Tamandua tetradactyla: one gene and its partners. The protein of the gene in region 1 interacts with the protein of each later gene in a pairwise test. Links are inferred from orthologs where the notes say so. Each region holds a gene or a part of one and is shown in the gene's direction. Other genes may lie near its edges.

Region 1 (8,218 bases):
GAAATGGAAGCTTATGGAGGACAGGTTTACAAAAGGCCTTTTGGCGCAAGTTAGTCTGACGGTAGGTCCACTGGATCTGAAGTTCCACCTCTATGTTTATTTTCCTTATAGATTTCCCTTAGGTATTCCCTAAACTGCAGATTATGAGCATTTTAAAATAAAGGGCCAAGTGGAAGCTGTTGCTCAAGATACTAAATCAGAAGTAAAAATGTATCCTGGTAGGAATGATAGAGATTAGCACCATTTTATAACCCCACTCATTTTTATCTATTTGACCACTACAAAACTCAGATGGGTTGTGGAGAATGATGGGGAACTACCATAATCTTAACTAAGTGATAGCCTATAGAAATGTAGAAGAGATCAACAAATCTTTTGATTTGCAGCTCTTGGTTTGGTGAATGCACTCTTGTCAATTCCTAAAGGTAAAGAGATTCAGAAACAGTTCATTTTACAATAGTACACATTCACGGTATTTCACCAGGACTATGTTAACTTTGCTCTTGGCCACAATAGAGGTGTTGGGGACCTTAATCACTTTAACATGCTTCAGAATATCATGCTGGGCTCCTACACTGATTGGTCTCATTGAGTAGGAAGTGACAAGTACTCTAGATGCTAGAAGGTAAGAAATAAACTTCATGGAGATTCAGGACCTGATCATCAGTGAAACTTTTAGAGGCCACCCCCCTTTAAAATAACAGACAAGTTATTGCCCTTTGCACCTACTACAACTAAGAAAGAAGTACAGGATTAATGAGCCTCTTTGCATTTAGCATATAGCACACTTAGGAATATTGCTCTAACCCATTTATCAGGTGCCAGTTTCAAGTGTGGCCCAGAGCAAGAAAGGACACTGCAGTAGGCTCAGTCTGTGGTACACGTTGCCCTAGTGCTCAGGCCATTTATCACATTTGTCTGATGATGATAGACGGATCAGTGGTAGATAAGAGTGCCATGTGAAATCTGTGGGAAGCCCACTTTAAGAGTTGCAGGACAGGTAACTAGTATTTTCAAGGCCATATCTTCTCAGGCAGAGAGCTATCTAACATGAGCTGGATATAATCAAACCCACCAAGTCACAAGTCCATGGGGATAGCAAAAATCTACTGAAATATGATACTGAATAGGCTTGAACCTGAGCACATCCAGAAAACTCAAGCAAATTACATGAATGGGTCATTCTGACTCCCAGGGCATTTATTCCTGTATCACTGATGTCTCCTGCTCAACCATCTCACAACTATGGCTTCCTGGAAGTTCTCTATGACTGTAAGAATTTGAGAGTTTTGCCGTGCAAAGGAGGACTCCAAGAGACGTTCTCTCATGCAACACGCAAGGGGTTTATTTACCACACATGCGTGGGGCTCACTGAACACGCAGGGACAGAGAGCCCCGAACCTGGGTTTTGGGAAGCCTTTTGAGGGCCAGGATAAGGGTGTGGGGTTTGAGGGTTGAACATTAGTTACAGGTTCTGCTTTATGCAGGAAGTAGATAACGAACATTTTGCGAGAAGCAGATAACAAACATTTTTCGCGCATGAGTCATGGGAGCTGCTTCTTGCAAGAAGCAGCTGTCTCATGCAAAACTCCCTTACTCAACCTTCTCAGTTGCATTCTTAGATAAACTTTCTCCGGCAGTTACAACCTTGCATAACCAAGGCAGCAGAAAACCTTGCATAACAAAGGCAGCAGATAACCTTGCATAACAAAGGCAGCAGATAACCGCCCCTGGGAAGTCCCGGGTTGTTTTAGCCTGATGGGGCCCATAACTCTTTTCTTTATAAAATCCTTCTTTACATAAGAAAAGTTAGCTACTGTTAAGTTTTATAAAATCCTTCTTTACATGACCATTTAATGAAAATGAAAAAATTCGAGCCTGGTCCAAAAAATGAGTTGTCCCGTTATGTTGGTGAGTAGCTAACATTGGAGTTCTAAGGCCCCACTCAGGCATAAATTTAAAGAACAATGGTGAAGGGGAGTTTCCAAGATGACAGAGTTGGGAGCAGTGTACTTCATGATTTACTCTATATAGAAGAAGAAGAGGCCTGCGGTAAACATATTTAAAAACTCCTGAGTTTGTCTTTCTTGCCTGCATCCACTGCCAGCATCCACAATCACAGGAATTATAGCAATTCTTATCAACATTACTTGCGACCAAAAAATAAGAAAGGGAAAGTGTGACAAGACATACATAACCACAAAATCCACTGATAACGCCATATCATTAATCACCCAGAAGCAGCCAGCCTCATAAAATGATGGAATGACCCATTACAGCCTTAGCTAATGTGCTTGCTTGGGATCACACCTTGTGGATTGAGGTATTGTCCCACAGGATTTGGTAAATGCACTGAATTAACCAAATTAGTGTTCCAATAGCTAGAAGGCGTGACTGCAGAAACTCAGGCTAAGTGATCCTATTATCACTCCCAGTGACCCACCAACAGAATTTGTGTTTCCTGCCCCTCAAATTTAGACTTCGCTAGGTCAGAATAAATGGTTCCCTCTGGGATTCAGGTTTCCATCTGGATACACAGTATGGATTTCACTGGACTTGAAACTCTCACTATTACTTGGTTACTTTGGTCTTTTCATGGCAGTGAACAAGGTGCAAAGAAAGGAGTTGGTTACTGTACTAGTAGGAGTACCCAGCTGTGATTAGTAAAGGAGCTAGAATTGTTGCTATATTCTATACAATAGCAGCAGGGATGAACATATCTGTAATCTAAGGAATTCATTAGAATGTATCTTAGTGTTTCTGTGCCCAGGGATACGTTGAACAGGCCAACTGCAGTAACTATGCCCCAACCAGTGCAAGGAAAATAAGGTCTAGGCTATTTTACTAGGGAAGTAACCTAGATTAGACGATGTGCTACCCAAGGGTGAGGGAAAGTTAGATGGGTAGTAGAAGACAGAGTTAATGAATGCAAATATGGTCTGGGCATCAGTGTAGAGCAAGGACTGAAGACTATCCACTAACTTTCTTGTATTAAATCCCTTGTATTTTCTTGTATTAAATTAAATTGCAGCTGCAATCTCTGCAACCTTGAAGGAGTGTCTATGAAGGACAGAATTTAAAGAAGGGCACAAGCAGATCTGAGTGGTTCAAGAAGTGAACTGAAATGGACACCTGTGAACTACTTCAAACCCCCTTATCCTCTTTTGCTAACCACTGCTGCAGCAAACTGCTCTAAGTAGGGTTTGATCAACCTTCGGCAAGTCCAACATGGCAACTGCTCTCCTCTCACTTCCCGATTCCTGTGAGGTGGGAGCCAGTTTGGCATTAACAATTGTGTAATTTGGAAGTACTGAATAGTTATTATCCTGGGGGCATTAACCTTTGATCAAAGGGGACAGGAGCCAACAGATAAATGCTTTCTCCATTCTTCTCCTCAGTGGACAGTTTTGAGATTCATTGCATAGCACTTTTCAGAAGATCTTAGGGAATAGAAAATAATAGTGGCTAACTCAATAACATATGCTTATGTTGACTTTCCCTCCTCCTTCCCTTTTTTTTTTTTTTTTTTTGCTCCCTGGGTTCATAATCCCAAGTAAACTATTGGCACATAAACCTTGTTTATGCCTTTATTTGGGGGGAATTTAGGAGGGGAGGGAATAGAAAAGAATTTCGTTTTTGGATGCATTAAGTTTCAGACACCTATTGGACACGCATGTGGAAATGCTGGGGAGACAATTAGATCTACAAACGTGGAGTTCAGGGAAAAAGCTCAAGGTATGTAAATACATTTGGAATACAATTTATTTCTCAATTTTGAGGAGGGCTGTAAACATGCAAATAAATAGGGACAGAGAGGGTCTTTATAGAGAAATAAAGCCTAGATAGAGATCATGCTTTTGAAAGGGGAGTCAATCCATGAAAATGAAGTCTTCGAAAGCAGTGTGACTGGAACATTATGATTTCCACAGCAAACAGACCACCTATTTATGATGCTTTTCCCACTGAATTTTATCTTCAGACAAACACTGAAAGATACTTTGCACAGCTTATTTGTCACTTTCTCAGTAAATCTATCCCTGACAGAGTGAGTTACTCCCTCTTGTACATTCTCAGGGTGCACAAACTTTTTCTACCTCTGTTGTCAGATTTATTTCATTAAACTGTAATTTATCCGTCTATTTAATTCTTCCTCCCCGGTGAGAGTGTGCCTCCTCTTCGGTGACTTTCCTGTCTTTGTATCTTCAACAGCTAACACTGGCACAAAATTAGCCCTGGTTGTTTGTTCAGTTAATGAATTATGAATGGATCCTTGCAGTCCCTTGGGAAAGACTGTCAAACAGGAGGAAATAAATCGCCCCTTTTAACTTCCAGCACGCTTATCTAGCCCGGAGCTCTCTTCTGTCACTTATTTTTGTATCCTATTTTATATTTATTTGTATCTACACCTTGACTAATCTAACGCACTGTGAATTTTTTTAGGATAGGCTACACATCTGAATCACCTCTGGAATCAAAGTACCCGAAAATAAAACACTTGCCAGGGCTATGGAATCAATGAATCATCTGCCTTGAGAACAGCAACACTGGCATCACCTGTGCTTCTAAAAGTTAAATGTTGGGATGCAGATTCAATATTATCTTCACCGGGCTGGAGAGGCTGTATTTTCTAAAATGCTCCCAAGTAGTGCCCATGAAACTGGCCCGTGGAGCACATTTTTGAATATCGAGATCACTAGAGCAATGTTTAGCGATTTCAATTACATACTAAAGTCATCTGGGAAGCTGTCAGATGTACTGCTGTCTGGGTCCGAACCCGAAGATTCCGATTTAACTCGTTCTCCATGCTTTGCGTAGCAAGGGTCTAGAGTTAATCGAGCTTCACAAATGCAAAACAAAAAAACCCACACACATTTAATCGGACTCTTTTGAAGGGAATTGCTGCAAATATGTGAATAAATAAATGTTCCAGAGAAAGTAAATATCGCGCAGCACCCAATCACAGATCAGCCTGCGCGCCAAAAGGCCTCGCCCCGCCCCTGCCCTTCCTGACACGCCCTTCTGGCAGCGCCAGGTCCCGCCTCTCTACGTCTTTCGGGTGGTGCCGCTCCCCGTCGCGTCATTGGCCACTCCCCTTTTCCCACCGCCTCTCCTTCCTTCTCTACGGGGCCCACTTCCGGTTCTGAGGTTTGTCACGTGTCCGGATATGGGAAGTGGTAGTAGAACCACAGTTTCCCGTTCACTGCTTAACTGAGGGGCGCTTCCCGTAGCAGTCATCGCCTCAGTCCCACCCCTTCTCCGTCTTGGAGGACCCGCCTGGGTGCAGGCGGGCTTGGGCCGGTCCTGCGGTAAGCCTTCGGCCGCGGCTGCCTAGTAGACCCTGCGGCGGTGGGCAGGCGAGCGGGCGGGCTTCAGGGTCTGAGGTGGCATCTCAGTCCGCTACTGGCTCGGCGACCCGGGTCGGAGCATAGCTCCATCAGCTGCCAGGTCCTCTTTTCCTTTCCCACCTCTCTGGGTAGGACGCTGGGTCCGGCCAAGACTCCCCTTCTTGCTCTCTGGGGCCTAGGAGAATATGTAGCAGGGGCGGCAGTCCTCGCACATCCTTTTCCGGATCTGCCTTTTAGGAACCAGACTTCATTTGTGCAAAACGGCCCTAATCGTACGTGCTTTGGCGTGGACCAGGAAAGGGAGGTGTAACAGTCTTCCACTTTTTAGTCAAAACCCACATTTTCTTCTAAAATATCTTGAGTACAATTCTCTGACTCCGTACGCTTTTGTTTGTTCTGGGTGACAGTGCGCCACGAGCTAAAATGTTTCAACAGCGTACGGGATCCAATCCACGGACACTCACTGACAAGCTGTCACACAGACAAATTCACCACAGAGAGTAAATCCACCGCAGAGTGAGCGTTGGACTACTGCCTGTGGAACGTTGTCAGACATAGACCTGGGAAATAATTTTGGAGGACTTTAAGTGATTTACTCACTGATTTACAGGAGAGTACATAAGTCTGGAGAGCTTATCATTTGATCCTTAGAATATAAATGCCATGAAGGGATATATCTTCTTGAATGTCTGTCATGTTCACTACTGTAACCTGGCCCCTAGTAAGCATCAATATTTGCTGAACAAATGAGGGGTCTTTTCATTATGCCTAACTCCTTTATGAGGTATGCCCAATCCGCTCTTGTTTTACCACCTACCATACATTTCAGTTACTGCTTTTGACCTGAGAGGGACTGTGTTGTAAATGTTGGCCACCATTAGTCCATTTATTTGACCAGTGTGTACTATTCAGTTCATGTTATCTCAAGAGGTGTTTCATGAGTACCTACCATAAACCCAAACTTTGACAGAGCATTTTGCTCACTCTCTCCCCCACACCCCCTCCCTTTTTTACAGTTAGTTCTTGAGATCCAGGAATTTATGATCTCAGAACCAATTAGTCACCAAGCGCCTGCTTGTTTAATAAATGTAGTAAATGCTATAGACATTGAGAGGGGAGATCAATTTGTACCTAAGATCTTGACTTCACATAAACTATAAAAGTAATTAGAGTTTGGTTAGGGAGGCGATAACATTCCCTGCATGGAAAAGCACCTGAGCAAAAATTTAAAGCCTGGAATGAACAGAGTGCTTGAGTAGAATATTCATCTTTGGAACATTAGGAAACTATTGAGCAAGGGTGTGGTGTGATGAAAGCTATGTTTTAAGATTATTTATTTATGAGAAACTTGGGGATTGTGGAAGCTTGCGAAGATATAACTGTATGCTGTACTATTAAATAGACATAGGTAATGTGAACCTAATTTACTGTAGTGGCAGTGGGAAAAGAAAGGAAGGAATAAATTACTGGTACAGGAGGAAAGCAACAATATGTGGTAAAAGATTTGATGTTGACAATGGAGAAGGGAATGAAATATGACTGAGGTTTTGAACCTGGACAGTTGCTTGCAGATGTGCGACTTGAACTTTGGGAGAGCTGTAGTTATGTTATTTGGTGTTTTTTTAAAAATATTTATAATATGTATATTATGTGCAGTGTGCCAGTTCTAGGAATACAAAGATGAATAAGACATGATCCTTGCCTACAAAGAGCTACTCAAGAATACAGCTAGCTAGAAAATACTGTTGGCAAGTCCAGTGTTCACAGAGTAAAAAGAAAATTTTAGAGAAGTAGAAGTGGAATTATTATTTTGTGACTACTTCACACAAGAGGTGCCATTTTACTGGTATCTTAAAAGAGATGGGGTAGAATTCCAAAGGAGAAAAGAATTCCAGGAAAAGGAAATTACATGAGCAAAAAGCTCAGAGATAGAAACCTAAACTGGCTAGTGTTCAATGTGGCTTGGATATAGGACGGACTAGAGCTTTTAACACTTTATCTAAGCCCTACAGCATGTTAAGTATTTAGTAATAGATGGAAAAGAGGTTAGGATGGGTGAATATGTAGAGAAATGCAGAAGAAAGCAATTGGGGAGAATTGTACGTCATGTTCTCTATATTTTCTGCAGAGTAGGTGATGAAGTCATTTGCAGAGAATGAGGAACCTGACACTAGAGTTGGGAGCTGAAGGAAGAGTAATAAAGATTTGCGACAACAGAGATGGTGAATGGGAAAAGCAAGCAACAAATAACATATTAAATGTTAGAGAATTGTTGAGCAACATTGAAAGTCTGACTGGCTGGATTTAGATATTTGTAGTGTATTCAGAGAACTTAGGTATGTGCTTTTTTTTAAGTGACTATAGAGACAGTTTAAGGAGATTGGTAAAACATAAAGGATCAGTTGGTCAACCAACAGGGTAAGATTATTGAATAATTTAGTGTGAATATAGGAAAAGGAGCACTGCTTCCAGGCTAGGTGGGAAAAGAAATTCAGCTGAAAGAGAACAGGTAAGCTAAGATTAGAGGAAAGAGGGAGTCATAAAAGATGAAGGAGGCAGGAGAATGATTTTTTTTGAGAAAGCAATTTTTGGAGTTGGAGCAAAGATAGAAGCTTCACAGATTGAGTAAAATATAGGAGATCTACTTTACAGAAATATCAGTTGTGTTTTAAAAACTTGTTGCAACTCATTTGACATTCATAATTTCTTCATTTTTCCATAGAAACAGTGTTATAAAGAGAATTTAATTTTCTAGGCAAACTCAACACATAAAATACTTTATACTTAGGATTGAAAAATAGCAATATACTTACACACAAATATATATGTACAAAAAATAAAATTAAGATTCTTTTTTTTTTTTTAAACATGGG
Region 2 (7,748 bases), on another chromosome or scaffold:
TGGAGTAATAGGAACACTCCTTCATTGTTGGTAGAAATTTATGTTTCTACCAACAATGTGGAGGACAGTGTGGCAATTCCTCTGAAAGTTAACCAAAGAATTACCATATGACCTAGCAATCTCACATCTAGGTATATATCCAAAAGATTTGAAAATGGGAACTTGAACATATATTTGCACACCAATGTTCACAGTGCCGTTATTCACAATTGCCAAAAGTTGGAAGCGACTCAAGTGCCTATCAACAGATGAATAAACAAAATGTGGAACACAATTACAGTAGAATATTATTCAGTTGTAAAAAGGAACGAAATTCTGATACATGCAATAACATGGATGAACTCTGAAGATATCATGTTGAGTGAAAGAAGCCAGATATAAAAGAACAAATATTTTATGATCTCACTAATATGAAATAATTAGAATAAGCAAATTTATAGAGTCAGAAACTAGAATCCAGGTTAACAGGCACCAGGGTGGGAATATGGAAAGAGGAGTTACAACTTAATTTCAGAAAGTGCAGAATTTCTGTTTAGGATGTTGGAAAATTTTTGGTAATGGATTGTGGGAAACTGCTTATGGCACCGGCAGTGTGCCGGCCATCTTGTGGCCTGATGCCATCTTAGGTACTAACTCAAGTTAAGTTTCTATTTCCTCACTTCTGCTCTACCTTTCCCCGAAATCAGTGGACCTGCCTTGGCTGATCAGCCTTTCCCAGCTTGGTCCCTGCTGATTGGTTGCTTAACTGCAGGGTAATGCCCAACCTCTGCTGACGTCCGCTACAAGTCACCTCCCCTTTCTTGCTGCATAAATACCCTGGATTCGCCTTCAATAAACGAGACTTGATCAGAATCCTGTCTTGTCTCCATTCTCTGTGTCTTTTGTCCCCCGTTCTACCTCCCTCCCTCAGGTCCAGGTTCGTCTGTCCCGCGGGTCGGGTCAATTGATGGCGTTCATGTAGAACAATATTGTGAATGTGATTGACACCACTGAATTACACATTTGAATGTAGGTAAAAGAGGAAATTGTTGTTTGTATATGTTACCAGAATAAAAACTTTTTAAAAACATAGGCTTGACAACACAGTGACTCCTGATGTAAACTATAGATTTGTTAATAGTATAATTACAATAATATTCTTTCATTAATTGTAATAAGGGAGCCACACTAATACAAATTGTTAATAACAGGAGGCATATATGGAAACTATATTTTCTGTATGATTTTTCTGTAAACCTACAAGATCGCTAAAAAAAAAAATCATACATATAATCAAGATAGAATTGTAAACAAGAACAAGAGGTCAATTACACTAAACTCCTTGAGAGCAAAGTGCGTATCTTGTTCACTAGTGTAGCATCTAGGAAAAGATCTGGTATGTAGAAGATACTCAGATTAATTGATGAATAAATGAAGACAGATATAATCCCAGCCCCAGGATATGATACCCATAGAACTGGCCCCCTCACCAGTTCAACCATCATGATAGAACTCATATTAGATTTGAGCAGGGACATATGCTCATATCCTAATAAAAGCCTAGAGAGAAAATATTCCTCCCTGCAGGTTCCAGTATGAATAACTCTTGGGAAGGATAAAAGACCCCGATTGGCCCAATTGAGGTCATGTGCCCATTCTTGTTTCCAAGCTGGGTAAGAAACCTAACCCTGTGGCCTGGAGGGTCGGTTCTGTACCAGAAGGAGGAGAATTTGCTATGGAACAGGAAAAACAACAACAACAAAAAAGTTAGGCTACCTAACAAGTGTATATCTCTTTAGAGTTTACAAAATGTTCCTACAGAATTTATGCCTTGTGAATCTCACAACTACTATATGAAGATGGATGGCAGGACAAGTATTAATAAAGAACTGGTGGATTAAAGATGCTTGCAAATTCCCTGTCACTCTGTTGGGAGATGAAATTTATTTACCCTTCACTTGAACCTGAGCTAGCTCTATGATACTTAAACAAAATGTGGCAAAATTTACTACCACTACTTCTCCACCTCACCTTTAAAAGGACTTACAACTTCCATTTGTTCTGGGAATGCTCACTGTTAGGATACTCTCTTTGAATCCAGCTACCATGTAGTGTAAAGTCCAAGGCACATGAAGAGTACTTTGGTCAACCGTCCTAGCTGAGCTCTCAGCTGACATCCAGCTCAACTGCCAATTGTATGAGTGAAACATCTGTACATTCCAGCACAATCAAACTCCCAGATGTCTCCAAGTTCCAGCCAATATCACATGGAAAACAACCACCCAGTTGAGGTCACTCAACCTAGCACACTATAAAAGATAATCAATGGTTGTTATTTTAAGCCTTTTCATTGTGGGGTGGTTCGGTTTACAATAGATAACCAAAACAGAAATAAGGTTTAAGGGGTTTGACTTAGGCTAGAAAGTATCAGAGCTGGGATGTTAAGCCAGATGTTTGGACCTAAGCCCACTGCGCTTTTTTCTTTTTTTTTAATTCCTTACCTCTTTTCAAAAACAGAAACAGCCTTGACTCAAAATGTCCAATTGAAGAATTTCAGCCACAGGATGTAGGCTGGGGAAAAAGTGCATATCATTCACTCATTCGACAAATACTTGAGAAACTCTATGTGCAAGGCAACTGAACAAAATGCATTTCCTCATTTCAAGAAATTCAGAATCTAGTGCAAAAAGACAGCTCCATAAAACAGCTCATTTTAATATGGACAGGTGTCATGATGGGTAATGTGCAGGGTGCTTTTGGAACGGATGGTAGGCACTAAACCTAGTCCAAAACATCAAATGATGGGCACATCTTCTGATGGGTGTGGAGGGTATCTCTGAACCTATGTTGAGGGTGTTGGAATGTATAAAAAGAACTACTCATGAAGATAAATATGACACTGTGGTAGAATGCTCACCTGCCATGTGGGAGACTCAGGTTCAATTCCCAGTCCATGCACGCATACACACACACAAAGATAAATATGAGAGGAGATTGGAGAAGGGAGAGGTAGAGAGGAGGAATCCTACTATTTGGGGTGGAGAAACGAATTTCAGTGCTAGTTCTACCCTTTACTTACATATGTTCTTTACCAAGTCACAGAACCTATCTGTGACTCAGCTTCCTGGATTGTAAACCAAAATGGGTTCACAGCTTTTCTTCTTCAAGCACTTGGCTGATCTTTCCTCCAACTCCTTCTCTTTAACTTTTGTACTTAGCTCATTGCTCTTCCCACTCCGAGAATTCTCCCTAAGTGATCTCATCCACTCCTAGAGTTTTGGTTATTACTCATATGGCATTGGAACCCAAATTTAGCCCAGTTCTTTCTGCAGGCTGTCTTCCAGTGTATTATCAGTTTGCTGGATATCACTGACTATTCCACAGGCACATCAAGTTTCTCATGTCCAGAGCTGAGTTCATCACTTTGCCCACTTAAATAACTCCCACTCGTGCTGATTTCTCCCTCAGCCCATGGATCATCATAGCAACTCAACTAGTGGCCCGTGAGGCTAACTTTACTCTTCCTTTTTCCTTAACTTCACATGCAATTATTTGTCAAGCACTGCTAATTTTGCATCCAAAATATTTCTGGATTACATCTTTTTGTCTAGACAGCCCATAGGAGAGCAAATTCAAATTATTTAAAGCTTAAATCATTACTTCCTCTCCCCAAACCTCCTCTACCTTGCCACCCACTCATCTACAATCTGGAACTTGGGCATCACCCTTTATTTCGCCCTCTTTTTCTCCTCCCATAACCAAGTAACCATCAGTTCCTGATGTTTGGCCTTCTTTTTTGCCTCTTAAATCTACCCTCTTCTCTCAATCTTACCCACTTCTCTCCATTCTCATTACTATCATCTTTAATTTCTAGGATAAATAATATCCTAATTGATTTTCCTGTCTTTCAATTTTTAGTCTTCAACCTTTAATCTCTTCTCTGCAGCCCAGACAGAATCTAATCAGGTCAGCAACCCCTACAGCACCCTTACCCCTACCCCTAATTTCTGGTATGCTTAACTCCCTAGACTGCATTTTGGTGGGACAGGGGCCATGATTCAGTCTACCCTTGTACCTCCTCACCTAGCACCTAGAGTACCTGGCACAAAATAGGTATTCGGTACATGAACCTGTGCTCACCTCTTGATTACAGGTTCGTAGCAGATAGATCCTTGACCCGTTTTAGTTGTCTCGAACCTCTGGAGTCACTGAGTAACATATGATTCATTTTTGAGAGCTAGAGTCTTTACATGAAAGCTATCAGAAACTAACTGTTGTATAATAGTACCAATAAATTATATATCAGTATATAGAAAGATGCATATTTTAAGGCATCTTCGTGATGGAGTTTTTAGACTAAAATCAATCTCAAGATTCTGGGCAAATAACTTCACCTTTCGGTATGTCTGTCTCCTAATCTGTAAAATAGGCATACTGAAAGCAATGAAGAAAAACTTCAAAGTCGCTGTAACCTGTGAGAAACCACGGACCTTAGAATGACCGGCCCGTGCATGTGCGCGTGCGCGAGGAGAGGGGCTTTACCTCAGCGCGGCCCTCCCGGCAGCCCCAGGGGGAGGCGAGGCCAGGCTGATTTCCGCGGTTTGTTCCCGCCATTGGTGGGCGGTTTGAATGACGGAAGTGACGATGGCACAGCTATGGCTGCCCCGTAGGCGCACGAACGGTTGTTTTGAACCTGAGTGGCGGTGGCTGTCCGGGCAGTCTAGGATACGGCTTTTGGCCCTGGCTCCAGATTTTCAGGTAAGTGACATATCGGCTCCCCGTGAACCTGGATGTGCATGACTCCCTGAGCCTCACGAATTAGGAGTGTGCTTAGAATGAAAGGGATTCCGTGCCGCGTCGCGAACGCAGCATGGCCGGCACATCTCAGACTTAGTCAGACCTTCGATTCTCGATGGGGTTTGACTGGCAGAAGTAAGGAGCGCCCAGTCAGGAGATGCGTCCCGACCCAGGCCTGCCAGCTTCATGCGAGAGGCTGATCCAGGGTCTTTTGCTCTTGTGGCTTTGAGCGCCTTTGCCGGGTGGGGTCGCGCGGGTTCTTAGTCCCGGGCAGCCGGGAGGGCCGCCGCCGCCGCCACTGCTGGAAGCACTTCTGGACGCGTCCTGCCTCACATTACCCGTGAATATTGGCTGGAATCGTTCTATGCAGAAAGTACACTCTTCTGGTGTGGCACCGTTAATTTCCCAGGATTTAATAATCCTGCCACGAACTGAGGTTTTTAAACAATAACCAACTTTTGAATCTTTGATACTTAGAATGTATATGGCAGTTTCACCTTCATTAAGTCACATAATCATCCGAACTGTTGGGGTAGATATAATTATCCCCATCATACAAGGTTAAGAAACTGAAATTCAAAGAGACTGACGTAGTCGGTGTCTTCAGCTAGTAAGTGGCAGTGATGGGTCTAAACCCAAATCTTCCCGAGTCTGTTATTAATTGAATGATTATATTGCCCCTTACGTATGCCACAGCATTTGATCTTCAGGACAAAATCGTAGATAAGGAGAAATATCTCCGTTTTTGATGTGCTTCTTGGGATTATAGTGAATAGTCAGGATTGGAGCTAATATGTTTCTGCCTCCACAACTCGAGCATATTTCACTGTTTTTCAATGCCAATTTCCTGTTGTAGAGAGAGCACACTACTATGAGCTCATTAGGTTAAGGATTTGCAAAGCAACAGGAAATCTCTGCTTTTAAAAGTGTGTTTTAGGAGAAAACACTTGTTTAGGTTTGAGAAAATCAGAATTCTGCTGATAATACCTTCTGTCACCTGGGACAGCTTTTTTTTAAAGTACTTATAGTGTGTTGCTGAATTTTTTGTAGATGGGTAAATACTAGTACCTGCTAATTTATACTTATACTACCTATAATACCTGTTTGGTTTGTAAAAATAGTTCTTCACCAGGATTGTTATGAGTAAGAGTGGTTTACATACATTTTTATAAGAGTTGCTTTCAATATTAAGGTAACAGTTATTGGGTAGTAATTATACATAGAATTTTTTAAATCCATGTATCCATATTGATATGAATAAGTAATTAAATTAATTGGGGTAACAGGAAAAGTTCTTCTTTATAGTAGAATTCTAATTGATGAGTGTAGAAGCAATAATAAAAATAGAAAATAACCATTTGATAAACTCCACAGTAATTGTTTAGACACTAAAATTAATGGACAAAAGAATAATGAGAAATGGAAAATTTGCATAGCCTCAAAGTATCTCTCCAACAGATAGTTATAACTCACAAGGGAAAAGTAGTAACTTTACAGAGAAGAAACCTCGTAGAGTCAGCGTTAACCAAGTGATCAAAATTTCATATGATCCTTAGTAATGGTGCATCAAGATCCTTCTCCTGATGTGATGCACAGAGAAGGGCACATCATCACTTTTGTGCTATTCTTGCCAAAAATTCACAACCTCAACCTAATTATAAGAAAACATCAGACAAAATCAGATTGAAGTGAATTCAACAAAATAACCCGCCAGGATTTTTCCAGAATTAGAAGAGACAAAGGAGACATGACAACCTTGCAGCTTCTTCTCGTAGAGAAGAAGCAACTCACACCTTCAGCCTTAGGAATGTAATTGACCAAGGGCTCCAGCACTCTAAAATCTATTTGCATGGAGGCTACTGTTTCCATGGGCTGTCCCCAGCTAGTAATTGAAGATGGCAGGGATACTAGGGCAGTGCTTTACTTTCAAGGCAATGAACTTTCGCTGGAGGATTTCTCAGAGGCCTTTCTCAAATTTCCTTACATTGCAAGACAGTTTGAGAGTCATCTACTCAATCTTCCCTCCTTTGCTCAGTATCAGTATTGCATTAAAGTCTTATATTCCAGCCTTAATCAGCTCCCTCCCATTTTCCCTCACACAGACATTTTCTCTAATAAAATCTAATCACCTGCGGTTTAATCCTGTCTTGGCATTTGCTTTCTGGAGGACCCTGACCAACACAATAACCAAGTACAATATGTATCCTTACGTTGGATCTTGGTCTAACTCTGAAATTATTTCCAAATGATAGGTTAAGGAAAAAATATATACATACACATGCACATACACACGCAGTAATAGAATAACTAAAGAAAACGGTTATTCTATTACATTTAGGAACTAAAAATAACAAATGTATATTGTTTCCCTCTAATCCTTTGGCAAAAGAAAATGATGATTAATACTCAGAACAATCTGAAAATTCAAGGTTGTTTCTTTTTTCTTTTTGTTGAGGTATAATCTAGACAGAATAAAACACACAAGTCTAAGTGTTGATGAATTTTTACATATGCATGCATCTCTGTGACCATTACGTTGATCAAGATTCAGAAAATTTCCAGCACCCTACCAGGCTTCTTTGTATCCCTCTATCCATCAGTAACCAGAAAGGTAACCCCTATCTAACCTCTTATCATGGATTAGTTTTGCTTGTTTTTGAACTTCATATAAATGGAATTTTACAATATGATCTCTTTTGTGTCTGATTTCTTTCATGCAGTGATATCTATGAGATTCAGTAGGAATTCATTTTAATAGTTGAATATGAGTGGATTTTTAGAGACCTTCCAACAAGTTAATAAAGGCACATAGTGAAGACAATTCAGTCTTGCTCATTTTGTTTTTTCTTTTTTTTCTGTTCTCTAATCCCTACACAAAAAAATACCAGCTAAAATAAAGGTTTTCTCTCTCCACATGTTTCAGCTATCAGAAAGTTAGGAGTCATTTGGAATAAGGAAACCAGATTCTTTCC
Region 3 (7,598 bases), on another chromosome or scaffold:
TAGCATTCTAGTCAGGGCACAACAGATTATTTCGCTCCCTTGTTAAATTCCCTTCAGAGTCTTTCCATTAGCCAAAAACAAAAAACAAAAACAAAATTCCAAACCAAGATCTAAATCTGTGTTCCCTACAACAGTGGTCCCTAACTGCACGTGGCTACTGAGCGCTTGAACTGTGGTTAGCCTGAATTGAGATGTGCGGTAAGTGTAAAAAACATAAATAAGAGTTCAAAGATTAAGAACAGAAAAATAAAACAAAGTCTTTCCTCAATAATTGTTTTATGTTGGTTAAAGGCTGATATTCAGATATAGTGAGGAAAATAAAATATACGATTAATATTAATTTCACATGTTTCTTTTTAAAATGTGGTTACTAGAAAATCTTTAATCATATATGTGCCTTGCATTATATTTCTATTGGGTAGCACTGCTCTAGACTATCTAGTCTCTGACCCTTTTGAATAACTTTTACTACTCTCCCCCCATGCCCACAATGTCTCAGCCACATTGGCCATCATCTTTTTATTCCTTAAACATGTTAAGCTTCTTTTTGCTTGGGCTCTTTGCATTCGCTGGTCCTTCTGCCCAGAATATTGTCCCTCTGGCTCTTCACTCGTTGGAACTCAACTCCAATGTTCCCTCCTCATGCGACTGTGTCTCTAAACATGTTATCTAAAATAGTCCTTGTCCACTCTCCCACCTCCCAACCTCTATTATTCTCTATCAATTATTATTATTATTATTATTGCATTTGGAACATTTCCCATCATTTTAAATATCTTATTTACTTAAATATCTCATTGTCTTTCTGCTAGAATATAATTTCCAAAGGCCAATGACATTGCCTTGATTATCATAGCAACTCTAAATGAGTAAATTAAAAATACATTTTAATTTTTATTTTAAAATAAGGAAATAGAGGTTTAGAGGTTTAAGGAATTTATCAAAGATCACAAAGAGAGTAAGGGAGGGCCAAAGCTCAAACCTAATTTCTATGACTGTAAATCCAAGTGTTTTTTTCCCCCTAAACTACATTGCCTTGTTCCGAAATTTAAAGTGACATTTGTGAATGCATTTCAAAAAATTGTAAAATCATATACAAATGTAAAGTATCATAAAACCCTTTTTCACTGTTTTAAGAAACAAATGTTTTTTTAATGGATAATTGCATAGGTTATAATGAGTGCTCATTGCAGCCCATTGATGCTGTGCTTCAGCATCAACATCCATCTTCCAAACCCAGGGCTATGTAAAATATTGTGACAAATTACCATTTTAAACATGCGATGTCCTTCAGTTTACATTTGCAGATTTCAGTGAAATAACATCCTCCAATGAAATCCACTGCACTGGAGAGGAAAAAGTGTAGAAATACACAAATGTACTTTTGATTGTGATTTTTACACAAGTTTTGTAGACCTAAAAAGCTGAGACTTGCATAGCCATAGCATATTTTGTAAGAGTCAGTTAATATTTGTGAGCTTACCATAAATAGCTGATAAAATTTCCATTTAAAAAATCTTGTGTGTTTATTAATTCACACATATTTAAAGCAAGTTAATCCACCACTGTAACTCCTACAAAGGAGAACGGATAATAGGAAAGACCTCATTCACCTATCTGAGCTCTTTTTATGAATGCCTTATTACTTACCAAAGTTATTGCAAAGATGAGTGGGTTAATTTCTTAAGTGTATGAAAGACTGTTATTAAAATGAAAAAACACTAGAAAATAAATCACAGAAACCTTGCAATAGTAAGTTTTATATTTACTGTCTAGTGTTTTCTTTTTTGCCGTACATATGCAAGCACAAAATTTTAACTCATTCATTTCTGCAATAGGGAAGAGCCTTCGGCTTTGCTGTTAGGCATGACAACACTTCACTTAAACCAATTCAAACCAGGACTTCAAGGGAGGAAGAGTAAACAGTTTTAACTGGGTATATTTTAAAGATTAAAAAAATTCTTATGAAATTCATTTTAAAAATGTGGTTATTAGCTTGCTTCTCTTGGTTTTGCATGTAAAAACTTGAACTGTCCACCTATATTTTGGCTAATTATCCTTTTATGTTAATGATAAAGTTTCAATAAAAAGTTAAATCTTGAATATCACGTAGAGCACATATGTATATGTTGACTATGGAAAGAGAAACTACCTTTTAGAGTTGGAAAAAGGTACATTTGAGCAAATTCTTATGGACTCTACCCTAAAAAAGTGGTTGAAAAAGAATTTTAAAAGAGTTTAATTATGTGCAACGTATTTAAAATAGGTTTTAAGGGAGCAAGGGTTAAGGGCTAATTTTCTCTTTCATTCCATAAAATCTGTCTCCCATTCTTCTCAGAAAAAGTTTGGAAAAGAATACTGAAATAGATGGACATGGATCTGATTCAGCAAGCTAATTGTAGATAATGATAGAAAACACTGGTTTCTGGTGTGAAATATTATGGATTAAGAAAAACCAAAAAACTTAAATGGCCTCTCTTCTCCAACAGCCCAGAAAACCGTGCCTGAATTTCCCTAGAGAACAGGTCATGGACTTGCTCCAGAGAGATAGGGTGGCTGGGCAGGGCACCGCGCCAGATCCAACCCAAGGGATATGTGGTCACATGACTATAATTGACCTAGAAGCATTACATCAGGATTGGCCACTTTGGCCAAACCACAGACTTTGTCCAGACAGTCTGCCCACTTAGTTATACACCAAGGGGTTATCAGACGGTTGGGACTAGCTGGAACACCAAAATGATAACCTCCTTGTTGACTCCCAGAGGTCCAAGCCGTACACTTTTCCCACTTAAAGGCTACCGTTGCCCGCCACTAGCATGACTTACTTGGTAGGAGGAATGTCTGTAGAGAAAAGGTCTATTTCAGTATCAGCCAGCAAAACAGCCTTCATTCCCCTAGAGCTGAGCACTTGTTTACAAAATTTGCAACACACGATGGACACACACCGGTCCTTGAAACTACAGCTGTTGGTTGACATGGCGTCTCAGGAAGGATGAGGTGGGGGATTTTGAAAAGTAAACAAGAGCAGTACCCTGCCTGGTTTGGTTCCCTTAGGCTGAAGATCAAGTTATGAGGCTTCCAGCTTTTCTAAGCCCTAAAATTGAGAAGGAAATGCGTTCTTTTCTGTTTTCCCGGTGAGAGGGTAAAGGTAATTATTTATTGAGTAGATGCAGGGAAGAAGCAGCAAATTTGGCTTTCCTTTCAACTTTATGGAAAGGGAGTAGAGTTTGAAGTGGGGAGGAGGCAAGCTGCAAAGGGCTTCGGGACCTTCTTTACAGCTTTTCTTTTCCTCTATCAGAACAGATCCTTTCCTCCCTAGCGCCCGCCGCTTCGGCAATTCCCTTAGCTTCCCTAGTAATACCTTTCCTTCAAAAATCTTCCCTTTTAAGACGTCCCCTTTCCCAGCATGAAGCTCCTCCCTTGGAGCACTCCAATTCCTCTCTCGAATCGTGGTTTAAGCGTCCCTACCCACGCCTCTTCTTTGGAAATCTTTCTCTTCTTCCCAAGATTCAGAAGTCCCCTCAGCTTTTCCCACCGGTACGATCCTTGGTTCTCAATCCTCCCTTTCTCTCCCGTGAACCTCCTCCGCTCTGCTCGTTCGCAGGCCCCTCGCTTTACTTCTCTCCTGGCAGCCCCCAGCGTGCTCGCCCTCGCGCCGTGGCTCTCGCGTACTCCCTCTCCGCCCCTCTCCCTTAGTGACCCCCGCCGTCCCCGCAGCTCTCCCCCGGAGCGGCCGCTCGATGCGCGCGGTGATGGTGGTGGGGCGGGCTGGGGTCACTTTGAGGGGTCTCAGTCGGCGTTGTGGGCTCGGTCACCCAGCACGGCGTTTTTTGCTCCCTCTTCCGCTTTCTCTGCCTTTCCAACCGGCTGTCAGTTTGAATTACCAACGCCGCGCCCAGATTGGGAGAACTCAAGTTCGCCCACGTTGCGTATTGGAAGGTTCTGGGGCCTTCCCCTGTTGAGATCTTAGTGGCCTGGAGACCGGCCGCCCCGCCCCAGTAACGGTGCCGAGATTAGTTCGGCTCTGTGGTTGGTCGAGCTTGGCCCCTCCTCTGGTCTCATTGGCTAGCTGCGGAGCTTTGGGCAAATCCCTACTCCCGCCATAGTGAAGCTGACAAGGCACGCCCTTCGCGCTTCTTATTGGAAGACGTTCTACATTCCCCTCCGGTCTCTACTCTCCGTTGGCTAAAATTCTCCGCAACGCACCACCTCTCTTACCCGGTCCAATTGGTGGTGCCTTCTCTCAGGAGTTTGTGTTTGGCTGTTGGTTCCATCTTAATCCCTCCCATCGATTCTCCTCTTGGGTTCGACAACCCGAGGAGGAGCTTATTCTGTGACCACGCCTCGGTAATACTAGTCACACCTCCAAGTTTCTCCAGCCCTTCCTCTTCATTCCTGGCCTCCTCGGGATCAGCTATTCCTATTGGCTAATGTCCCCATCGATCGGTAGAAAACGGGCGGTGATTGGCGAGGGGGTGGGTTCTGCTTCCCGGCGGGGTCCTGCGGAGTTGGCGGAGTCTCCGCTGGGGAGTAGGTGGCCGAGCTGCGTAGAAGCGGGTGGCGGGGAAGAGAGGGGTGGAGAGCTGAGTGGGAACCGGAGCCGGGGGCCTGGGACCCGTCGCGTCAGAGCCAGGTAAAGGCTCCTTCCCTCTAACATTTCTTCTTCCAGTCCGCCGAGCAGGAGTCTTGACTGAACAAATCCGGTTAGAGGCGGGAAGGAGAGGGCGCTGATGCCGCTTGCGGCATTGCCTTAGTGGTGCCGCCCGGAATCCCTTAGATTCCCGCCCCCCACCCCCCGCCCTCCCAGACCCTCTCCAAATCTCCCAGTACAGCCCATAATACTTCTCAGGGCTGCGTCTCTCTTCGCCTTTCACCGCACAGCCTGGGACTCTGCCCTTGCTCACATGCCGCAGCGCCGCGCGCAGCCGGTTCTCTCCCCAGTTCCTCCACCTTAGTCTACGTTTTCGTCAGTCGTCGTTGATCCCCGTGGCCATCAGCTTCCTTGGTCTCCAAGTCGTGACCCAGCCTAGGACCCAGGATGTGTGTTCTGCACTGCTTCCGGGGATCTTCCCCTGGCCCAGCTCCCCGGCTCGCGGCTGTATCTACTCCCATCGCCAGATCCACATCGCGGTCCCCAAAGTTGCTAATATCCTTGTGTTTCATGTAGTGTCACAGTCCAACACCCCCCACCCCAACCTGATCCTTCTCTTGCCTCTCTCTGCCTTCAAAGCGTTTTCAGATATGCTCCAGTCATTCCCGGGCCTCAGGACCCCATCTCACCCTCCCCCGCCCCAACCCAGTTTCCTGCCCGCCTGATCCACGCCGCCTCTGATCCCTCTCTTCCTCTCTCCGTGCAGCCCTTCCTCCGCCGCGGGACGAGGGGGACACTAGCTGGTTGTCTTCTCCTCGCGGAAAGGGAAAGGGACGAGGAAGGAGGGAGGGTCGCCGCCGCGGCGCGTCGTGGAGTGAGACGCCAAGGTCTGCGCTCGCGGCGGGTTCCCTCCTGCCTCCCCCCGGCCTTCGCTAGGGCGGGATATCCTCCCGCATCTCCTATGTCGGGGAGTCGGGACTTCGACCCTCAGCCCCAGAGTACACACACGCACACACACACTGTACACACGCACACACACTCATGCACTGCTTGGGATTGGGTGCGTATCTGAGTTTTCGGGGCACGGATGATACTGGAGGGGTGGCATTTAGAGTCACTCTCCTCCCTGGCTGGGGGAGGCCACGGCTGCCTTCCGCCCCCGGGTTTTCCCGGCTCTGACCCTCGCCTCTAACCGGTTTCCTGCTTCTGCCGACCACATTGTTTTCCTGGATGTGTCCCGTGCCGAGTAGGCTTTTTCCTGCAGATTCTTCCCCTCCCCCGCCCCCCCAATATTTTGCTGCCAGGGGAAGCTAGTAACCAAAAACAAAACAACTGGGAGGAGGAACGGGAGGGAAAAGAAGTTGTGTTTCGGTGGCTCGTTGCTTGCGGGCTTTGATCCCTCCTTTGAAGTCCCGGGGGTTGTCCCAGCCGGGGGTCTGGGACCGCGTCAGAGGCAAGGCCGGGAGGGCCCCCTCGGGCTGGCCTCTGCCCAGCGCTGGCGGGGGCCGGAGGCCAGGCGGCAGCCGAGGTGCCGCAGTCCCCGCCCGGAGCCCGGTGTTCCCGTCGCAGTCCCTGCCTGAAGCTTGCCTAGGCGGCTGCTCCAGAGTGTTTTCTTTCAGCCTTAAAACAAAATCCGGAGGGAGCTTCCTTCCTCCTTTCTCAGCTGCACGGGGCTCAGCGGGCCAGGCGGCGTTTGGCCGCTATGAATGGGCCCAGACCGGGCTCGGAAGGACGTCCCCTACCCCACCCCCGCCGCGATTAGAATCTGTGCTCGGGCTTATCGCCCCCCTCCCCCTTTTCCTGCATTTACAGGCAAGTGAACCAGAGCAAACGACTTCCGATCCAGTCCTCGCTACTGCGGCTCCCGTTTGGGATTTGATTTGCAGCATCTACGAGCCTGTGCAACAAAAAACCGCGAAGCACGCCCAACCCTCCCTCGGCACCCCAATACGCACCCACTGTCTCTCTCGGGGACACAGCTGGGCGCGTCCACACCCCCGCAACCCCACACCATGTTGTTGTGCGGAAGGACTTCCACTCCCCGCCTGTGTCGTTGATGTCAGACCCCAGGCCAGCCTCCGGGCGCTGCAGTTCTCCCGGCTAATGCTGAGGCTGCGTCGCGGGCTCTAGCACAGGAATCGGCAGGCGCCGCGCCCGGCCCCAGCACCCACCGTCTGCATGTGCCCGCCGTAACCGTTTGCCCAGTCCGCAGCCCGCGCTCTCCCCGGAGCGCTGGAGACCACCGCGGGGGCCCCTTCTGCCTTCGGCAAAAGCGGTCCTGAAGGTATTGATTTTGGTGGTTGGCTTTTTCTCTTGGATCTATCAATTCACAATTCGAATTTGGAAGAAAGAAGGAAAACATGACGTCTCCAGCCAAATTCAAAAAGGATAAGGAGATCATAGCAGAGTACGATACTCAGGTCAAAGGTAAGGACTTTGAAAAATAGCATAATGCATGTGCTGTATGGACCTGTGAGGCATGTATTTCCATCCTGACTTGCAGACTCTTTGGGTGGAGCAGGTGGGGTGAGGCCGACCCCAGAGGTGGTTTCATAAGTGGTTGGGAATCACCAGTGCCAGGAGCTAAGGGACGTTTTTGGAGTGGGCTTCAGATTTGTCTTTTTGAGGCTGCCTGGGCCATTATTATGGCAGCCCTTTCCCCCAGGCTGTACCAGGTGGGGGGAGGGGCCGGAGGTTCTTAGCTGGAGAAGGCTGCAGTTTGCCTCAGGATGTCTGGGCCAGGTTTCCTTGAAGGACATCTGAAATCTGACAGGTGTTTGGAAATTTCTGTATCCGAGGTTGAAGAAGAGTCCAGGCAGGGAAAGGCAGCCTTGAGAAGGTGTACCATTTGAGAGCCCTGGGAGAGGTGGGGACTGTTGCTGATGCGCTCTATCAAAATATGAGATTTGCTGTGGCATTGGTCACAGAAAGTCCATAGCTACCTTTGGTGTGCACCTCATACCTACCTGGTCCCTGGTTGCCTAGCAGACAGTCAGAGAACAGA
Region 4 (7,648 bases), on another chromosome or scaffold:
ATTTCTGTCCCACGTCGCCAGGAAGGCCCACACTCCTGGGAGTCACGTCCCACGTAGAGAGGGAGAGGGTGGAGAGTTTGCTTGTTGTGTTGGCTGGAGAGAGAGGCCACATCTGAGCAACAAAAGAGGCTCTCTTGGGGGTGACTCTTAGGCCTAGATTTTAAGTAGACTTGACCTATCCTTTGTGGGGTTAAGTTTCATATGAACAAATCCCAAGACTGGGGGGTCAGTCTATAGCTTTGGTTGTCCACACTGCTTGTGAGAATATCAAGAATTCAACTTGGGGAAGTTGAATTTCTCCCCTTCTCACCACTCCCCGATGCAAATATTTTTCCACTCACTGATCAAATCACTCTGGGATTCATCGGGGCATCACTCTGGACAAACCAACAAAATCTCATGCCCTACCCAAGATTCCAAGTATTTATGGTGTTCAATCAAGCTATCTACATAAGTTATAATAGGAAATGCACTAGTCAAAATATAAATTTTGTACCAAATATATATTTTTTGCTTTAGTCTCACTTAAATTATATTTTAAAATATTAATTACCATCTATTTTCAACTCCCAGCAGTAATGACATTCCTTTGTTCTTCCTCATGCAGAAATATTGTTAAATTTGTATATTTAGCCACTATCATTATATACTCAAGGCATTCCTAGATTATACCATCTGTCTTTATTGTCTATCTTTCTTTCTGATTTCATTTGTGCCCCCAGCCCTCTTCCCTCTATTATTCTCACATTCAGCTTCATTCAGTGTTCTAACATAATTGTATTACAGTTAGGTAGTACTGTACTATCCATTTCTGAGTTTTTACAATCAGTCATGTTGCACAATCTGTATCCATTCACCTTCAATTACCCAATATCTTACCCTATTTCTATCTTCTGATGGTCTCTGTTACCAACTGAAATTCTCCAAGTTCATTCACTAATGTCAGTCCATATCAGTGAGAACATATAGTATTTGTCCTTTTGTTTCTGGCTAATTTCACTCAGCATAATGTCCTTAAGGTCCATTCATGTTGTTACATACTTCATAACTTTATTCTGTCTTAAAGCTGCATAATATTCATCGTATGTATATACCACAGCTTGTTTAGCCACTTGCCCGTTGATGAACATTTTGGCTGTTTCTGTCTCTTTGCAATTGTAAACAATGCTGCTATAAACATTGGCGTGCAAATGTCCATTTGTGTCCTTGCCCTCATGTCCTCTGAGTAGATACTTAGCAATGGTATTTCTGGGTCATATGGCAATTCCATACTTACCTTCCTGAGGAACCGCCAGACTGCCTTCCACAGCATTTGTACCATTTGACATGCCACCAAAAGTGGATAAGTGTGCCTCTTTCTCCACATCCTCTCCAGCACTTGTCATTTTGTTTTACTGATAATGGCCATTCTGGTAGGTGTGAGATAATATCTCATTATAGCTTTTTTTTTTGTATGGGCAGGCATCGGGAATCAAACCCGGGTCTCCAGCATGGCAGGCGGAAATTCTGCCACTGAGCCACCATGGCCCGCCCATCTCATTGTGATTTTGATTTGCACTTCCCTAATAGCCAGGGAAGTTGAGCATTCATTGATTTGATGTTTGATGAGGTTTTCCACGTCTGTTTGAACATTCTGAATTAATTATTTCAACTCCTGTATCTCATTTGAATTGTTGGTTTGTTCCTTTGACTGGGCCATATCTTTAATTTTCCTTGTGTGATTCGTTATTTTTTTTGCTGGCATCTAGGCATTTAATTACCTTAATTAGTTTATTTTGGAGATTGCTTTCACTTCTTTTACCTAGGATTTTCTTGCTGGATGAATTTGTTGTCTATCTGTTCTTTGACATTCAGTTCAGCTTATTCTGGACCTCTAGCTTAGGTTTTGTTCAACAGAGGAGAATTTTTCAGTTCTTGTTTTCTTGTTTCTTGCCCTGCCTGTATGGTGCCTTCCCCGCCCACCCCACATCTTAGGAGGGTCTACTTAGGTATAATAGACCCAAGCCAGATTTTCCCAGACCAAACTGGCCTCCTATCAGGAGGAAAGAGTCACCTGCTTCGATTTTCCCTGAGGGTGAGACCTAGCAGGTTGAAAGACTTTCCCATGAAGTTTCTGGACTCTGTGTTTTTCCTATGTTGCCCAGTATGTGGTGCTTGTCTGCCTGCAGGTCCCACCAGCATAAGGTGATGTGGTACCTTTAACTTCAGGAGATTCTCCCTGCTGGGGGCATGGCAGAGACAGTGGAGAGGTTGTAGGATGGCTTTAATCACCTCAAATTTCCAACCCCCTGGGGTCTGAATTCTTTCAGGGAGGGAATCCACCTGAGCTAGGCCCCTCCCCTCTCCTAGGGAAGGCACAGGCTCCAGACAAGCTCTAAAACAAGCTTGTTTATGCCTATGCCTGGGGCTGTTGCAGCCTGAGAAGCCCTGCTGCTGTATCCAAAGGCAGTCAAGTCTTTGTAGAACATAGCCCCCAAAAAAGAAAGAGAAAAATCCTTCTCAGAGCAGGATCCCCATTTCTTGGGTTTGCCAATCAAGAGCATAAGTTGGTATGTTGACTGTGTACCTTCAGATTCTATGTGCCCCCTCCTTTCCTTCAGGGCCCAGACCCCTTCAAGTATTATATGCTATCCGATCCAAAAAACCTCTGTTTCTTTTTTCCTTTTTCAGTCACCCCTGCCCCCTCAGAGCCAGGGCAAAAATCAGCAACCTCCATTTTGAGGAGGTTCACCTGAGCTAGGGCCCTATTTTTAGTAGTCAGAATTTGTGAATTAATTCAGCAACTGGAGTTTGGTTGAGCTCAGCCTCTGCTGCAAAGTAACGTTCCTTTTGTTCACCCCTAGGAAGCAGCCTGTTGGGGAGGGGTGCCGACCACTGCAGCTTGGGGGACTCACGGTTCTGGGGGGGCTTGCAACTGGTCCAGCTGGTCCAGACTGGGGTACGCTGTGTGTCTGGTCACTGAAGTGGCCCCAGCAGTTGTTTTGTAGTGTTCCTGGCTACTTACTAGCTGTTCTGGAGGAAGAACTAAACCCCGTACCTTGCTAAGCTGCCATCTTGGCACCTCTATCTTTCTTTCTTGACAGCCCCTTTCAACATGAAAAAGTTAGAATGGCCAAAGCCCAAACACCCTTAAAGATTGGGATAGAAAGATCAAAGGTGATGGTGGAGTTATATAGAGAAGGTAGGGTTTAACAAGTTATATGACTGCTGAATCACTAAGTTGATATTTCTTTTAGTCTTCAGTATCTTAGAGTAGCTATAAGTAAAATCCTAAAATTGTGAAATTGTAATCCATACCAAAGTCTGAAACCTGTTCTACAACTAATTGTACTGTGGTTTGAAATTGTTTCTGTATATATTTTTTTCACAAAAAAGAAAAAAAAAGTTGATTGTGATGATAAAAAAACATTTATTCCTTCTAGCCTCTTATATTCTGTAACAGCTGGAAGGAAAACTCTTAGACGATGGTATAGTAGCCCATGACAAACTCTGGAATCTGTCCTATAACTACTTGCTGAAGAGTGCTTTAAAAACTATTGCCTTTTTCTCTCTTTGGTTTGTATATATGCTATATTGTACAATAAAAAAAAATTAAAAAAAAAAAAACCAAAAACAACTACCTAGGCTAGAATTCACCAACAAGTCGACCTTAGCCAAGCTACTTAGCAACTTTAAACCCCGGTCCTCCCATTTCCTGTGAAATTACGTTAATAACAGAGAAATCACGTTAATAATATGAGGACTAAATACTATTTCAAGTAGAACGCAACGGCACAGATTTAAGTACTTAGATGGTGCAGGTGCCTCACAGAGGGCCACTCTGCCCCTCACTTCAGTGTTCTCTTTACAGCTTAGAGGTTAAGAGCACAGATTCTGGATCCAGCCTGTCCCTCTGTGTCTATTTCTTCCTCCCGAAAATGGGGTAATAATAACCTATCTCACAGGGCAGTTGAGGATTAAATTAAATTAAAGTATGTAAAATGGTTAGAATCTGTGCCTAACGAGTAAACACAACGAAGTGTTTGCTACTATTTCCATTATCTTTAAGTTCTCTCAACATACCATTTCTTTCCTACCTCTGTTTCTTCTAATCATTCTTCTAGACTGGGTTCAAACACCACTTCCTCAGAGGGGGCCTTCCCGACCCCAACCCAGGTCCTCTTAGGACCGCTCTTTGACAGGACATCTTCGACCCCTACCACCAAACACGCGTATTCTAAGAAGCCCGCCGCATATCTCAACGGTAACAACTTCAGCCTGTTGCATGCCTTTTTCAAAAAACGTCTTTAAGACAGGGTCAACAGTGGGTACGCTCCCGCGAGCTTCCCCACGCGTTACCTTTGTCACGTGGACCCGCCGGGTGTGAAGCCACAAAGCCTCTAGCCGAACTAGGGGCGTTTCCTATCGACCCTCCACCCCTGCGCCCTTCGCGCATCCCGCCTCTAAGGCTGGGCCAAAAAGGAGGCGGAACTCTGTGAGTTGTACGGCGGTTTCCCAGCCGGACCGAAAAACCGTGCGCACGGAGGGTCCCGGGAAGAGTGCTTTGGGCTTTGACTCCCGCGACATGGCCTTTAACTTTGGAGCTCCTTCGGGCACTTCGGGCACCTCTGCAGCCCCCGCGGCTCCCGCGGGTGAGTGGTCCCTTCCGACCTTCTCCTGGGGAGGCGAGGAAGCCTTCGGGCCCTCTTGCCCCTCCTCGGGCCTGGGGGATCCTGCGGTCTCCCGCCCGCGAGAAATTTGGGGGCATCCGGAAAAGGGCGGGCGGCAGTGGAGGGGCGGAGGCGGCTCCTGAGGAGGCCGCCGAGGGGCTAGAGGTCCAACCCGCAGCTCGTGCTCCGTGCGTGGGTCTCCCCAGGGCCCTGTCTTTCCAAGGTGCGCTTCCCGCCGCCGCCGGGGAGTCCCGTTCCGTGAGACTCCCCTCTCCCCTTGCTTGAGACCCGCCTTCCCCTCCCTATCCTAGCTTCTGGGACAGGCGGGAAAGCTCTCGTGGCTCCCGCAGCCGAACTGGATGAAGCTAGGTTTGGGTAGCTCCGGACGCTGCCCTGCGGCTCCCTCTGTATCAGTTCGGAACAGGCAGGTGCCTACGCTGCGAGCCCTTTGGTCCTTGGTCCTTCCTACGGGTCTTCACGCTGCTGCTCCTGCTCTTCCCCACTTCCTGTGCTTTCTTAACTCATTTGGAGCAGTCAGGTTTGTTTCTGTTCACTTCTCTGAAACCTGCTGATTCTTCTAATTCTTATCTTTTCCTTTTTTTTTTTCTTCTTTCTCCTTAAAAATTGTTTTCTTTGTTTCTTTGCCTTCACGCCTATCAGGATTTGGTGGGCTTGAGACTGCCAACTCCGCCGCCAGTGGGTTTAATTTTGGGGGTTTCGGACTAACTGCTAATCCTGCAGTGAACTTTAATATTGGGAATTTCGGTGTTTCTACTACCTCGGCGCCTCCATTCAATTTTGGTAACAGTCTGGCAAGTGCAGGTAGATACTGCGGGTCGTATGTGTGACTAGTGTTGGGAGCTGGAGTCCAAGAATGTTTCGTGGTTCCTAGAATTTGGAACAGAACAGAACAGTGACTTGTCTAATAAAGGAAATTGATTTCCTAATGTCTAATTAAAACCATTTGTAAAAAAAAAAAAAGCATTTGTATCAAGTTTTAACTGTCTTGTTGAATCTTCAAAGATTCTGGGAAGTTCCCTTCTTAAATTTGCACTTAATTGAACTGAGTGTATCTTCCAAATGACAAGAATTTGGAATGGGTTATTATTTTGAATGTATCTTCCGAATTATTAGATTTATCTGCCAAAGTGTAAACTCACCGTTTAGGCCCATTTTCCAGAGATTCTTGGACTCCTGCAGTCATTTTTCATTTTTTTTTCGTCTTTCATTTCGACTTCATTTGATTGTCTTTCTGTTTCCCAAGGGAAACAAGTCTTATACGAACAGCAGTGACCTGTCTGGTTTTTTAACCTGTCTAAAAATAATATATTTCTGTAGTCAACTCTACAGATTAGGATACACTTTTGTAAGATATGTAACTGTATAATTCTTTACTGGATTTTGGTGATATAATTAGAATTATTAAATTTATTTTCAGGTAGTATTGAACCATATTAAAAGATAGGATAGACATCTTTGCACTCTAAAAGATCATTGTGAAGATCTTGCTATCTATTAAAAATTTTGCAAAACAAAAACTATAATGGATTGTGTAAATTTAAAGTAGGTCTGTGTACGCAGTTTACATACAGTGACCCTATAGAAAAATCTTGTTCCTTAGCTGCTCGTATATGAATTTTACTGTCCATATTCTCCTACATTATGCCACTTATGCCCATGCCAATTATATGCATTTGGTAAAGGTTCTTCTCTAAAATTTATTGGAAGGTTTGCTACTTTGAGCTTTCACTTGTTACTGCTATCTGAATATCACGCTGATGTTTGAGTTGAAAACAGTTTAAAGGGTGTTTGAAATTGCAAAGATAAAACGAATGATTACTTTTAAGATATATTTGAAGTGATCACATGCCCCTGTCTTTTAGTATGTTTACTTTTCCCTGTTTGCTTAAAATTGGCACTGGGTAAAACAGAAACATTATTTTGAAATTTGTTTCTGAGTAAAGCCACCAGCTCATATTCAACAAATATAAATAAACCTGTTGTTTGCTTGATTTCATTCTTCATTTGGTGTTATGTTTTATATTGTGGCAATGAAACGGTTTTAACTACTTTTATGTATGTTAATTAACCTAACCTTTTGCAAATGGCTGATAGAAATTCTTGTTTACGTTTTTATTTTGTACTCTTGTAGACCAGCTATAACAAATATTCTTGTATTGTGGACAAGATAATATAGTGACTGATATCTTTATTGTGAAGTCAATTTAGAAAATATCTTATCCTACGAACTTGAGGATTAATGTAAAAGATTAAGAACAAGGTTTAATACTTGAGGTGATTTTTATAAAAATGTTTACAGTTTGCAGCCCTGCAGTAGGACCTACAGATAAATAGGATATTTGGTTATCCCTGCATGCCACATACAGTCTACTTTTGAGTAATTTCCTTAATCAGAATTATATGATTTACAATCAAAGGTTGGTTTTTTCTTATATCTTTTATGTTACAGTCTTGATGAATCTCTGTCTTGTGTACTAGAAATATATAAGATGGTTAGACTCTCAGAAAATCTGCTCCATAACTCAGAGTAAGCAGGGTCTCCAAACATTTGTCTTGAAAGTCTTTTTGGTACCACATTGCTAATCAGCTAAAGACTGACAAGAAAGAAAAAAAAAACACGTGAAACTATTGTAGATTAACTAACATTTCATTCATATGTAGCTGTCTGAAATTTTTCTGTCATAGTTGACAGATTGTGTCAGAAGTATATTTAGCTCTTCTCACTTTCTTGGCACTGCCTTCCACTTGTGCACTTTTTCCCTTACCTCTTCCTTCAAGAAATCTATTCTTCATGTATAGGGGTCAGTCTATTGTTATGTTTTCTTTGGAAAGTTGCTGAGTCTCGATGGAGACAAAATAGAAATAATGAGCTAAAGTGGATATACATTAATTAAAAAAAACAGGGTTGGAAACTTGCAGTTCATTCTGCTAATGAATGTTTGGCTTACTATTGGTTAATTGGAACATGATATTAAAAT

The links.
Region 2: the proteins of EXOC1 (region 1) and CEP295 interact in a two-hybrid assay, tested with the Homo sapiens proteins (2 studies listed by BioGRID and IntAct). The link is inferred for Tamandua tetradactyla from reciprocal best matches to the Homo sapiens genes EXOC1 and CEP295.
Region 3: the proteins of EXOC1 (region 1) and SRGAP2 interact in a two-hybrid assay, tested with the Homo sapiens proteins (2 studies listed by BioGRID and IntAct). The link is inferred for Tamandua tetradactyla from reciprocal best matches to the Homo sapiens genes EXOC1 and SRGAP2.
Region 4: the proteins of EXOC1 (region 1) and NUP54 interact in binary tests that used the Homo sapiens proteins (3 or more experiments, as listed by UniProt). The link is inferred for Tamandua tetradactyla from reciprocal best matches to the Homo sapiens genes EXOC1 and NUP54.

The regions. Positions count from the first base shown.
Region 1 is NC_135345.1:56,284,740-56,292,957, forward strand, and holds the start of EXOC1 (exocyst complex component 1), read left to right. Parts: upstream 1-5,116; 5' UTR 5,117-5,306; intron 5,307-8,218.
Region 2 is NC_135334.1:49,396,097-49,403,844, reverse strand, and holds the start of CEP295 (centrosomal protein of 295 kDa), read left to right. Parts: upstream 1-4,592; 5' UTR 4,593-4,737; intron 4,738-7,231; 5' UTR 7,232-7,272; coding exon 7,273-7,387; intron 7,388-7,748. UniProt on the Homo sapiens protein: Centriole-enriched microtubule-binding protein involved in centriole biogenesis.
Region 3 is NC_135330.1:63,929,083-63,936,680, forward strand, and holds the start of SRGAP2 (SLIT-ROBO Rho GTPase-activating protein 2), read left to right. Parts: upstream 1-4,426; 5' UTR 4,427-4,636; intron 4,637-6,406; 5' UTR 6,407-6,954; coding exon 6,955-7,021; intron 7,022-7,598. Other genes in the region: protein FAM72A, read right to left, coding at 1,269-1,346, 2,829-2,980. UniProt on the Homo sapiens protein: Postsynaptic RAC1 GTPase activating protein (GAP) that plays a key role in neuronal morphogenesis and migration mainly during development of the cerebral cortex. Regulates excitatory and inhibitory synapse maturation and density in cortical pyramidal neurons.
Region 4 is NC_135350.1:52,982,489-52,990,136, forward strand, and holds the start of NUP54 (nucleoporin p54), read left to right. Parts: upstream 1-4,397; 5' UTR 4,398-4,564; coding exon 4,565-4,631; intron 4,632-7,648. UniProt on the Homo sapiens protein: Component of the nuclear pore complex, a complex required for the trafficking across the nuclear membrane.